3 linked regions of the Canis lupus familiaris genome follow. Each later gene encodes a partner of the first gene's protein in a complex. Links are inferred from orthologs where the notes say so. Each region holds a gene or a part of one and is shown in the gene's direction. Other genes may lie near its edges. The genes, in order: DIAPH1, PPFIA3 and PFN2.

Region 1 (3,741 bases):
GGGGCCTCTGTCGTGTGAACACAGTGGTGCTGCGTCACATTTCTGAAGAAGCTGACAGCCCCGCTGAAAAGCTGGGCCTACTGACCCTGTTTGGCTTCTGTCTTGTCTAAAGCTTCTTGCTGGTCTAAACAAGGCAAGGCAGAGGTATTCTGGGTGCTTCGTTCGCCACCTCCTCTGGACCTCGCCTTCACGTGCATGTCCTGGAGCTGCCCCAGCCCTGCCGTCTTCCTGTTAGAGCTCTGGGCTCCTCTCACTGGCCCTGCTTTAAGCCTTAGGCGCTGCTTTCTTCAGTCATCTTGCCCACGAGCCAGCAAGTGGGGTTTGAGATAAAATCAAATGCTTAAAATTCACCCTTTAAAAAGTATGTACTTCAGTATTTTAACAAGTTTGTGCAGATATCACCACTACCTAATTCCAGATTATCATCATCACCCCAGAAAGAAACCCCATCGCCATGAGCAGTCATTTCCCCCAGCCCCTGACAGTCACAAATCTACTTCCTGTCTCCCTGGATGTGTCATTCTAGACATTTCATAGAAATGGGACTCCTAGCACATGTGGCCTTCGTGTCTGGCTTCTTTCAGCCCCGGCAGGCAGCTCTTTGTGTACATGTGGTCTCTCTCTGCTGCTTGTAGGGCATGGGAAGAGGCAGAGAGCATGAGCTGGGCACAGTCCCAAGGAACTGCCTTTGTGCTGCAGATTTATGGTCCCAGTATCTTCATTCCATAAATTAACACGAGAGTCTTAGAACAGAAACCCGTGGGTTGATTGGTTCTTTTCTTCCTAAGATGACAACTGGAGCTTCACAATCCCTTAGCCCTTTGGGCTGAGATTGCCTTGTGGGGGGCGGTCCTGGCCTTCCTTGACCCCAGCTCTGCATTCCCTGACAGCTCTCATGACCCACCCGCTCCCACACCCCCCATACATACATACCTTGTAGGGCCCTTGGCATGCGTATCTCAGCTGCTGCCCTTGAAGAAACAGGAAAGAGCTAGGATGTAGGCATGGGGAGAGGAAAGGAAGGCTCGGGGAACACTGGGGAATGTGATGTGCATGTGGTGGCAGTGCATGGCCGCTGCTGTGCTCCTCTTTGCAGGAGTCCCCCCGGGCAGCCTGCAGCAGGCCCTCCTCTGCTGGGGCCAGCCATCCGCAGGGCTGGCTGAAAATGGTTTTGGCCCAGGAGGATCCCTGGACGCTGCCAGGAAAACAAAAATAATACTCTTTTACTAACCTTGGGGCTATTTAACTCCAACAACCCTGTGATGAGAACACACATTTTGAGTACTTAATTTCTCCTTAAGTTACACAGCAGACTGGCTCCACGTTCTGGCTGGCTGGCTGCATTGACACCCGTGTAGTGTCCACCCAGGGAAGCACGAGCGAGGCTCGCTCTCCTGCCTGCACCCTGCCCTTAACATTCTCTGCACAGAGAAAATCTCTTCCCCGTGTTCTGGGATCCCCGCCCCTCCTGCTTTCAAATAGGGGCCTCCCTGAATCAGAGAGTGCAGCCACATTCGTTCGCATGGCTTCAGGCTGAGCCTCTGCCAGAGTGTCGGAAAGGGATTGGAAATTGAGCCTTGTGTGGTCAAGCTCTTTCATGTCTCCTCTTTGCAGCCAACAGGAAGGCCGGGTGTGCAGTCACGTCTCTGCTAGCCTCGGAGCTGACCAAGGACAACGCCATGACTGCTGTTCCTTCTAAGGTGCCCAGGAAAAGTGAGGGGGTCCCCACCATCCTGGAGGAAACCAAGGAGTTGGTTGGCCGTGCAAACTAAGCTGGGTCCTACGGCCATAGCAGCTCCTCCAGGAGCCCCAGACTGTCTGGTCCTGTGGCATGTGCCTCCAGGGTCGCGGAAGTATTCCTCTGGGGCGGCTGCTGCTACCACCCTGACCCTCTTCCTATGTCCATCAGCACAGCTTCAGCTGCCGGGAGGCCAGCAGGAGAGGGCAGAGCAGGGAGGCCCGAGCCCCACCCAGCCAGCCTGGCTGTCGTATTACCAAAGCAGGCTCCGTGTTTGCTGCCTTAACCCCAAGTGTCTCCTCTCTGTCACTGAGGCCTTGTCTCAGACGAGGCCCCACCTGCTTTCCCAGCCCCTGCCTTTCCAGTGGGCTTTCCCCTGGGTCAATCTCACTGGGTTTGTGCTTTTCTTTTGTGGTTTCTCGAGCCCTGCCAACAGCATGGGGCTTGTGCACCTTTGGGCTCTCTCCCTCCTTTCACTGCTGTCACCTCTGCTCTGCTGTTCCCTTTCCTGGTTATTGTTATTTATTACTAGTGGTGTGACCGTGGGAGCCATGCCTAGAGAAGTGGGGAGCAAGCCCCACCCTTACTGCACCTTCCTGGGAACGGCCTCCCAAAACAAAAAGGACCTGGACCACTTGATCTGTTCTATGGTGGCCAAGAGCCTGTGGAGAGGCAATGTCTAGAGACACTGTGGGACCCATCCCCAGCCTGCTGCCATGTCTTATGACTCTGCCTCTGTGAACTCTCTATACCTGCCTGGGCTCCTGAGCCGTGGTCACTGCTCACACCTTCCCCCAAGCTTTGGTGCATCTCATCTGGAGTATGGGCTGTACTGTGACCATCCCAACACCTCACCCTTTGTCTCCAAGGAAATGGGAGGTGGAGCCTCCTGGCTGAGAAATTGTTTTGCAAATGGATCTATTTTTATATGAGATTTTTTTTTTTTTTTAAAGAAAATAACTATTCCTTTCCCCTTTCCCCTCCATAGTGTAAGAGGCTCTGATAGCAAGGTCCCAGCATCCCTGGGATTTATCCCCACAGGCCTCAATCCTGAGCAGGACCTTGGACCTTTGCCTCAGCCCTAAGCCTGGCCTGTGTAGATTCTCTCTCCCATTATCCAGTTCTGGGGCACAGCTTCTCTGGTAGAGCTGAACCAGGCCTAAGAATAATGGGAGCTCTGAGACCACAGTTTTTATAAATTTAATATATTTATCAAGCCAAATGTGCAAATGCTAACTGGGCCCTGGGCAAGTAAGCACAGGAGTATGGCCACACAGCATAGCCCTGCTCCCTTCTGAACAGTGGGCAGACCAAGCTGCTCAGTAGCCCCGGCTCCAGGAAGCTCAGGTTCTCTGGCTCCAGGTGACACTTTGCCCTCCTTGTGCTTTCAGCTTCCCACCCCCCAGGTAGGGAGAGAGAATGGTACTGTTACGGCTTACCCAGAATTCAAGTTTTGGAGCAAAGGGGGGACTTAGGCGACCGAAGCATTCCTGCAGGGAGGCTTTCAGGCCGGGAACCTGGGTGCTGGCTCAGCCTTCAGGCCTGTGTGTGAAGGTGCAACAGCAGCTCCTTTGAGCTCTTTCCTAGAAGGTGGGGGTGAGGGGGAGGCTGCCTCCCTGAGTCTGCTCCTCCTCCCTGCTGACATCTGGGGCTTTGACCCTTTCTTTTTTAATCTACTTTTGCTAAGATGCATTTAATAAAAAAATACACAAAAAACAAAATGCAAACTATTTCCCTTGCCTCTTGGGCTTCTGGGATGTCATCACCTCCAGTTTATTGGGTTTGTTTCCAGTTGTTAATAAAGCATTGAAACAGTATTACCTTACCATCTGCTTTGTGAGTTTAAGCTGTTTTCCAAATCCCTGGTTGACCTGACAAATAAGTGTCAAAAAGTTTAAGGTGCCTGTCATGTGCCAAACACCCTGCTTGGGCCTCTGCCCTTGAGCCTGCACAGCCTGCACCAAGTGCACCGAGGAGTCGCTCCAGTGCAGGCCCCGCCCCCC
Region 2 (3,741 bases), on another chromosome or scaffold:
ACAGTATTTATTGTCACCGGCTCCTTATTTAAAGATCTTTGACCCTCACTGATTGTCTGCGTGTCTGTCCTGCATTCTGGGGTTAGAGTGTCTTGAGCTGTAGGGGAGGGAGAGAAGCTGAAGTCTAGAACAGGCCCGGAAGAAACCCTTTTGAGTCTGGGAGCAAAGGTAGAGACTTTCCCTCAAGATCTGATGGTGGAGGCTGGCCGGCTTCCTAAGCATAAGTCAAGGCAGAGGCTGGGACCTTGTCTGGGTCCGAGTGCGAGGTCATAACCAAAGACAACGCCCCCTGCCCTTAAGAGAGACTGAGGGCGAAGGCCAAGCCCCTTCTGTGGTTGGTCTGACAGAGGAGACCTGAGAAGCTGCAGAGCCGGTGGGCGGCCTCTGTGTGGGCGGGGTGGAGCGAACCATTAGCTTCGTTCGCCAGGGGAGCCCTGCAGGCCGTACTATCATCAGCGTGGGGGGTGGGAGTGCCGCGTGCAGTTCCTGAGGTGGGCGCAGGGGGTGCAGAACAAGGTGCACTCGCAGACCCGGCATTCACCCCACCTTCCAACCTGAGCGCGTGCCTCCGGGAGCCGCCCCCGCCTTAAAATCCACCCTTTACTCCCACCTCATCGCTGGTCCAGCCCTCGCGTCCCGTGCGGCGCTAGGGCCGGCGCGCGCCACCTCCGGGATCCGGGGTCGCAACTCGCATTCCACGCCGCGCGCCACTAGCTCCAGGTGACATCATCCCCCTGCCGGGCTCCGCCTCCCGCCCCAGCCGCCGCACGCCGCACGCTTATTGGCCGACGCGCCTCGAGCCCCGCCTTCCGCTCTCCGCCCGCGCGACCCCTCCCAGTCCGTGCGGAGGCGGGGTTTAGCCACCGGCCGGCTCCGACGACGCCTCCCATTGGCCACTCAGAGCCGTCTGTCAGTCTCCTGTTAAAGGGGCCACAACCGCACGGGAGCTGGTGGGGGGGGGGAGGGAGGAGGAATTTTTTTTGGGGGGGAGGTGGGATTTGGGGGGCGCTGGTGGGCACCCCTGGATCTGGCGGCTGCGGCCTCGCGGGGGGAGACTGAACGGTGATAGGGGCAGGGGGTTATTTTAGGGGGTAGAGGGCTGTGAGACCGTGAGGGGGAGGGGGGGTCCCCAGCGCCCAAGCCGGAGCCAGAGACGCGGAGCCCGCGCGAGCGGCGGAGACAGGGCTCCGGAGCCACAGATCCGGGCCCCGGCCGCCGCCAGGGGCCCCGCCCGGTCCCCCCACCCCACCCCACGTCCCTCCTGCAGCCCAGCTCCGCCCGCAGCCGCCGCGGACCAGGTAGGTAAGAGCCCGGCCCAGCCAGCTTGGCAGCGCCCACCCCGGGGACCCCTCGCCGAGCCTTCCTCGCTTTCCCGAGATCCTGGACTCCCTTCTTTATCCCCGGGGGCTCCGGAGCCCAGATTTCACAGCCCAACCCCAGAGACTCAGGCGTGCCCCTCCCGGCTCTCAGAGTCCCCAACCGAACCCTAGAATCCCAGGCGTACTGCTGCCTTGCGCCTCGTCCAGGGCCCAGGAGCCTGGATTTCCCAGTTCAGCCCCGGCAGCCCCCTCTGGACCTACATCCTCCTCCTCGGCCCAGCCCGGAGCTCCTAATACCTGCCGTGGCCGTGTCAGACCCCCAGCTAGGGCCAGCTGCCCCCCGTCGGGTGTGCATAGTCGCCTATTCGTGCACCCGGTGTGCCCATCTCCAGCCTCCGGCTTGAACAGCCAGCCTCGTCCCTCGGTCCAGGCCGGCTCGGCAGCCGCCCTGGACACAGGCCCGCTCCGGAGCTGTCCATGGTCAGCGCACTCGGCAGCTTCACCTCCCCCACCTCCCGCGGCCGCTGCCGCCGGGGAGGGGGCGCCTGCGGCGCGGGGAATACCCCCCGCCGCGCCTTTGACCCGGAGATACCCGGGCCCTTTCCGACCTGGGCGCCTGGGCCTCAGGGTTCCGCTGGTGAGCCTCTGGCCAGTGCTCAGTACCCCAGGTTTCTGGGATCCCAGCTGCTTCTCGAGGAGTCAGGGCTTCCGAATGTTCCTGCCTGGTCCACCCTAGGGATCTTAGCATCCAGGGATCCAGTTCCCACCTGGCTCTGGAAGCCCTGTCAGTGCTCACTCCGTCTGGCTGAGGCCCCAACTGGTAACCCCCACCTGCTCAGGACCTGGGAATCCAGTTTCCCAGCTTTCACCCCCTTTAGAGACCCAGCTCAACAGTCCCCTGTGCCCCCGAGACAAATATACCCAGCCTCCTGGCATCTCAACATCTGCCTGCTTAGGGATTCAGGCACCATGACTCTCTTGGAATGTAATTCTTAATGCAATTCTCTGGCTTCTGCCCACCTTCCCTTTTGCAGACCTAGATGCTTTGTCCCTGGTCCTGCATCCCCTCAGGGACCCAGGAGTTCAGACCCCGGCTTCTGTATTACCCACCAAAGATGCTGCAACCCTCATTCCCAACAAGGACTCAGGCTCCCAGCTTCCATCCCTTGTCCTTTATCTCCACAACGATTCAGGAGTCCAGCCCCCCACCAACTATCTAGCCCATTAGCTCTTGCTCTTAGGATTCCAGGTCCCCCCAGCCTTACAACCCCCATCAACTTGACATCTCTAGTGGCCTTAACAACTAACAACATGCCTCATCCCCATATCATCTCAGGCACTGGGCTCTCTGGGAGCTGTCTTCTCTTTTTCTCTACTCTGTTCCCTGAGACCTACTTTCTTGACATGTTTCCAGCACCCTATCATGATGTTTCTATGTCATGATGTTCCATCCTCTGAGTACACCTTCTCAAGATGATGGGCCAAACATACACCCCTTCCTCTAGATGTATTCTGTGACCTAGGTTCATTAGATGATCTAGAACCTACCCACTATCTTCCATATTCCCAGTTAAACTGTGCCCTTACATGCTCTAGAATCCTTCTAAATCTTAGAGCACTCTCAGCCAATATCTCTGTTCTGTTTGCACCCACGGTATATTCTCAATTCTAGGTTAAATACTAAATTCTAGGCATGTGTTTCCCCAGGGGAATTTAAACGTCTTGATAATGCCCCAAACCAAATTCTGATCCCACCTCCTCCTCACACATGTTCCAAATTTTTAGAAACTAGCACTTGCTTATTCTCTGCTAAATTTTATTTTAGGTGTGTTCTAGGTTCCAGCCACATCCTTGGCATTGTTCTAGATTCTGTTATCTTCCCAGGGGCATTCTATATTCTAGAATATGTGTGTTCCAATTATGTGCTCTAGCCTTTCTCCACATTCTGCTATCAGTTTTAAAATGTACTTTCCTATTTTAGGTCTACCCAGTTCTACAGTCTTAAATCTAAAAGATTCTTCCTGAAGTGTTGTGCATCTTCCTTTTTCAGGTACTAGGTTCTAGGCTCATCCATTCCCACCTTTTCGGTCCATCTTTTCCCTAATGTGACCTTCGTTTAGAACTTATCTCCTGGAGGATTGTGGGCTTCCTCCTCCATCTGTCACTTTAGCATTCTAAGCATGCTCTAGGCTCATCTCCTCTTTTGGAGTCTTCAGCTAGAAATGTCCTCATTTCCAGAACATCTCTCCCCCCCTTCCTTTGCCAGCTCAGTCCTTATGCCAGTGAATTCTCAATTCCCAGCATGCTTCTGAATCTTCCCCCAGGCACTTCTAAGTTCCAGGCAAACTCCTTGCTACTTTCTAGGGTTTCCCCCCACCTCCAGGGCATGTTCTGAATTCTAGAGCCTATTTTCTGCCTTCTG
Region 3 (3,741 bases), on another chromosome or scaffold:
ATGAATCACTAATCGCCGCTAAGACTGGAGGATTAGAACCATCAAAACCACTACAAAGAGGTAAGGTAGCCAACCAGCAAGTGTAAGTGGATCAGGTGGGCGGCACACCTGCAAAAAACGAAAACAATTTTGGCTCACATTTTGTACCTCGTAGGTATTTTGTTACCATCAGAACATGAGAAAAATGCACCGTGTCCATCTCCTGGGTTCCTGACTTGGGGGTTCCTGCGGGGGGGGGAGGGGAGGGTTCCTCCTAGTGTGCTCCCCCCCCCCCCTTGCAGTAGCTGATTTCAGAAAAATTTTAAAGCAAACAGCAGGGGTTTAAAAAAAAAAAAAAAAAAAAAAAGGATCCCTGGGTGGCGCAGCGGTTTAGCGCCTGCCTTTGACCCAGGGCGCGATCCTGGAGACCCGGGATCGAATCCCACGTCGGGCTCCCTGCATGGAGCCTGCTTCTCCCTCTGCCTGTGTCTCTGCCTCTCTCTCTCTCTGCGACTATCATAAATAAAATAAAAAAATATTCTACCTTTAAAAAAATAAATAAAAAATAAAAAGAAAGAAAGAAAACTTTAGAACCCATTAAATTGCTTCAGCAACATTTTTTGTCTTCTCTCCCGAGGTCACACCCCGTGACCTTTAAATTCGAAAACGGACTTTTCGGCGTTTTGAACGCGCTTCCCTCTTTCCCTCGGCTGGCGGGTCGCGTCCGTTCACCCAAAAGGGACCTCCTGGTCGGGCGTCCCCTCGGGGCGCCCAGAGGTCGCGGGGAGACGGGCAGCCCCGCCGCAGGGTCCCGCCGTCCCCGCCCCCGCCGAACGCTCCCATCCCGTCGCCCGGGCAACGCGGCCGTGCGGGCCCCGGAGCCGCATCCCCAGCCGCGCGGCGCGCCACGGCGCGGTCGCGGGGGGCCCCGGGCTTCCCCCCCACCCCCCGGCCCCGCGGCTGGAGGAGGCGGCGGCGGCGGAGGCGGCGAGGAGACGCCCGGGCCTCGGCGCCGCACGTGGCGGCCGCGATTGTCCCCCTCGGCGGTATCCCTCCGCGCCCCCGCCTCGGCCGCCGCCTCCCTGGCCGGGACCCCCGCGGGCGCGGCGCCGCGGAAGGATCGCACGCACGGGCACGCGCACGGGCACACGCACGGGCACGCGCACGCCCGCTCCGCCGCGGCCGCGGACCAGGCTGAGGCGCCGCGGCGAGGAGCAGCCGCCGCCGCCCGCACAGGCGCTCCGAGCGCGGCGTCCCCGCTGCTGGTCAGTCAGCGCCGCGGCGGCCGGCGGGCGGGCAGGCGGGCGGGCGGGCGGGCGGGCAGGCCGGGCGCGCCCCGCGGTCGCCCCTCGCCGCCGTCCCCGCGTCCTCCCTCCGCGGCGCCTCGGGGAGGGGGGCGGTCGGTGCCTGCGCAGAGCCGCCTCCTCCCCGCCCCCGCCCCGCCCCCCCCGCGCCGCCGCCGCCCGCCGCCCGCCGCCGCCGCTGCGCCTGCTGCTCCTCGCCGTCCCCGCTGCAGTGCGAAGGGCTCGAAGATGGCCGGTTGGCAGAGCTACGTGGACAACCTGATGTGCGATGGCTGCTGCCAGGAGGCCGCCATTGTCGGCTACTGCGACGCCAAATACGTCTGGGCAGCCACGGCCGGGGGCGTCTTCCAGAGCATCACGGTGAGGACCGGCGGCGGCCGGCCGGGGCCCCGTCCCCGTCCCCGTCCCGGTCCCCGGACCCGAGCGCGGCCGGCCGGGCGGGGGCCGCCCTGAGGGCCGCGCGGCAGGTGTGGGAGCGGCCGGCGCCGAGGATGCGGCCGAGGCCGGGGGCGCCGGTCCGCGGAGCTGGGGGAGGGGGCGCGCGGCGGCCGGGGCCGGGGGGCGGGCGGGGGGGCGGCTGCTTGTGGTCTCCCGCGAGCCCCGCGCTGTGCCCTGCACGGCCCGGGGTGCACGCGGGCCCCGGGGGGGGGGGATCCTCCGGCGGCCGGGCTGCCCCTCGCGCCGCGCGGGCTGTGGGAGGCGGCGGCCGCCGGGCGCCCGGCCCCTCGCGGCCACTTTGCGGCGGTTCGCGGGCGTCCAGGCCTTTGCGGCTGGGGAGCCACGGACGCCGGCCACGCAGAGGGAGCTTCGCGAATCTCGACTTCGCCTCTGGCTCTATAGGGCTTTTTTTTTTTTTGAATTATTATTATTTTTTTTTTCTTAAATTCTCCCAAGATGGCGAACTGCCATTGATTTCTCTCCTCCTCCTGTGGAGATTTCATCGATACACCGTTATCCCCAATTACGCAACCCAGCCCTGGCATCGGGGGGCGCGCTCCTGGGGCGTTCGGCCGTCCGTGCGGCCGAGGGGACGCCGGGCTGCCCCAGGTCCCTCCCCCCGCCGCGGGCATCGTGAAGGAACTGATGCAGGTTTACGCTCCGCGGGGCCCGGGCTCCCTGTGACTCGCCGGCGTGGACTCGGTCGCCACATGTTTGGGGGCGACGGCTCCTCGGCCTCCGGTGCCGCTTTGTTGCTGTGCCTCTCTGTGCGCAGGGCCCTCGTCTGAGCCGTGACGCTGTGTCAGACACGGGGAGCGTTCCCGTAATTTCCGAGCCCCACGCTCCTCTCCCATCCCACGCCGAGCCTGAGGCCCCCCGTGACGGGTGCCCCTAATTCTCGCGTCCTGGTGAGCCCGGCTCTAGGATCTGAGTGTGTGGGCGTCCGCCCCGGGTGCGGGGACCTCGAGGTCTCCGGTAGCCGCAGCGGACCACAGCGGTTCCAGAGAATTGGCATCTGTCTGGCGACCAACTTTTTTCCTGCGGTGCCCTGGTCTTTGTGTGCGAGTTCCCGCTGTCTGGCTGGGAGGATTGCGGGGAATGTGCTTGGAAATGGCTGGGGCCTGCTATGACTCTGCAGTTCTGATGGGGGCGACGCCTTCCTCCTTATTCAGGGAATGTTAGAATGCACGTTTTCTCCTTTCCGGTTTCGGGGGACTACCTCAGTTGCTTTCCCAGTCTCCCTCCATTTTCTCTCTCTCTCTCTCTTTTTTTTGTGTGTGTGTGTGTGTGTGTTGGTGGTGGTGGCTCTGTTTTTGTTTTCTCCCTTTCCTACTGCAATGCTACCTACCAAGAGAATCCTCTCCTGCATCTGCCAAGAAAGAAAACTGATGACTGACTGAGGTGGGAGGGGAAGGGGAAGTGGGAGAGGATAAAGAGAGCGGCTGGCGAAATAGAGAGGAGGGAAATACGAATTTGGGAGTGTGTGGAGGTCTAGGGTTTGAAATCCATACCAGGAAGGCGGTTCAAGCCATTTCAAGCAGAGGAGACGGGGACAGGTCTGCTGAGCATGGGCATTATTTCAGGAGACTTTCAAGCAACTGGAAGTTTGATGCAGCGTGACTGTAATGTGCCTGAATGTGACAGACAAGCAGTTGCTGAAAGAGTTTGTAGGTGAAGCTTTACCATTACATAAGCCCTTCAGGTGCCATCTGACTTGAAACAGTTTATAAATAATCTCTTTCCGTTTGCAGTTGACCTGGTGTCAGCTAGCAACCACATAGATTCTTCGCATAGACTGGTCTTCAGTTAGTACCTTACCTGTGAAACAAAGTGATGTAAAACATGCAGCCGTGTAGGATTAAGTAATTCTTTGGAAAAGACAAACTTCATGTTACACTAGTGAAATGGGGAAGGACCTCTAGTAGGATACAGACTTAGCACACAGTTTTTCCACTTATATGGAGACCTTGAAAGGAATTAATTACAACTTCATGTTTTTTTTCTTTCTTTTTTTTTTTTT

Evidence for each region.
Region 2: the proteins of DIAPH1 (region 1) and PPFIA3 are in contact, whole or in part, in a crystal structure (PDB 4UWX), measured with the Mus musculus proteins. The link is inferred for Canis lupus familiaris from reciprocal best matches to the Homo sapiens genes DIAPH1 and PPFIA3. Residues at the interface, in NP_031884.1 of Mus musculus: Lys252, Ser255, Ala256, Ile259, Gln307, Asn310, Ala311, Thr314, Pro315, Ala316, Glu317, Arg322, Gln352, Cys354, Val355, Glu358, Gln359, Glu362; in NP_084017.2 of Mus musculus: Pro719, Arg720, Arg723, Leu724, Arg726, Met727, Ala728, Ala730, Leu731.
Region 3: the proteins of DIAPH1 (region 1) and PFN2 are in contact, whole or in part, in a crystal structure (PDB 2V8F), measured with the Mus musculus proteins. The link is inferred for Canis lupus familiaris from reciprocal best matches to the Homo sapiens genes DIAPH1 and PFN2. Residues at the interface, in NP_031884.1 of Mus musculus: Ile635, Pro636, Pro637, Pro638, Pro639, Pro640, Leu641; in NP_062283.1 of Mus musculus: Ala2, Gly3, Trp4, Ser6, Tyr7, Asn10, Ala28, Tyr30, Trp32, Arg108, Met131, Tyr134, Leu135, Ser138, Phe140.

What each region holds. Positions count from the first base shown.
Region 1 is NC_049223.1:35,631,110-35,634,850, reverse strand, and holds the end of DIAPH1 (protein diaphanous homolog 1), read left to right. Parts: intron 1-1,614; coding exon 1,615-1,772; 3' UTR 1,773-3,563; downstream 3,564-3,741. UniProt on the Homo sapiens protein: Actin nucleation and elongation factor required for the assembly of F-actin structures, such as actin cables and stress fibers. Binds to the barbed end of the actin filament and slows down actin polymerization and depolymerization.
Region 2 is NC_049222.1:108,003,527-108,007,267, reverse strand, and holds the start of PPFIA3 (liprin-alpha-3), read left to right. Parts: upstream 1-1,152; 5' UTR 1,153-1,298; intron 1,299-1,580; exon of another isoform or gene 1,581-1,843; intron 1,844-3,399; exon of another isoform or gene 3,400-3,412; intron 3,413-3,741. UniProt on the Homo sapiens protein: May regulate the disassembly of focal adhesions. May localize receptor-like tyrosine phosphatases type 2A at specific sites on the plasma membrane, possibly regulating their interaction with the extracellular environment and their association with substrates.
Region 3 is NC_049244.1:45,210,316-45,214,056, reverse strand, and holds the start of PFN2 (profilin-2), read left to right. Parts: upstream 1-1,431; 5' UTR 1,432-1,511; coding exon 1,512-1,643; intron 1,644-3,741. UniProt on the Homo sapiens protein: Binds to actin and affects the structure of the cytoskeleton. At high concentrations, profilin prevents the polymerization of actin, whereas it enhances it at low concentrations. By binding to PIP2, it inhibits the formation of IP3 and DG.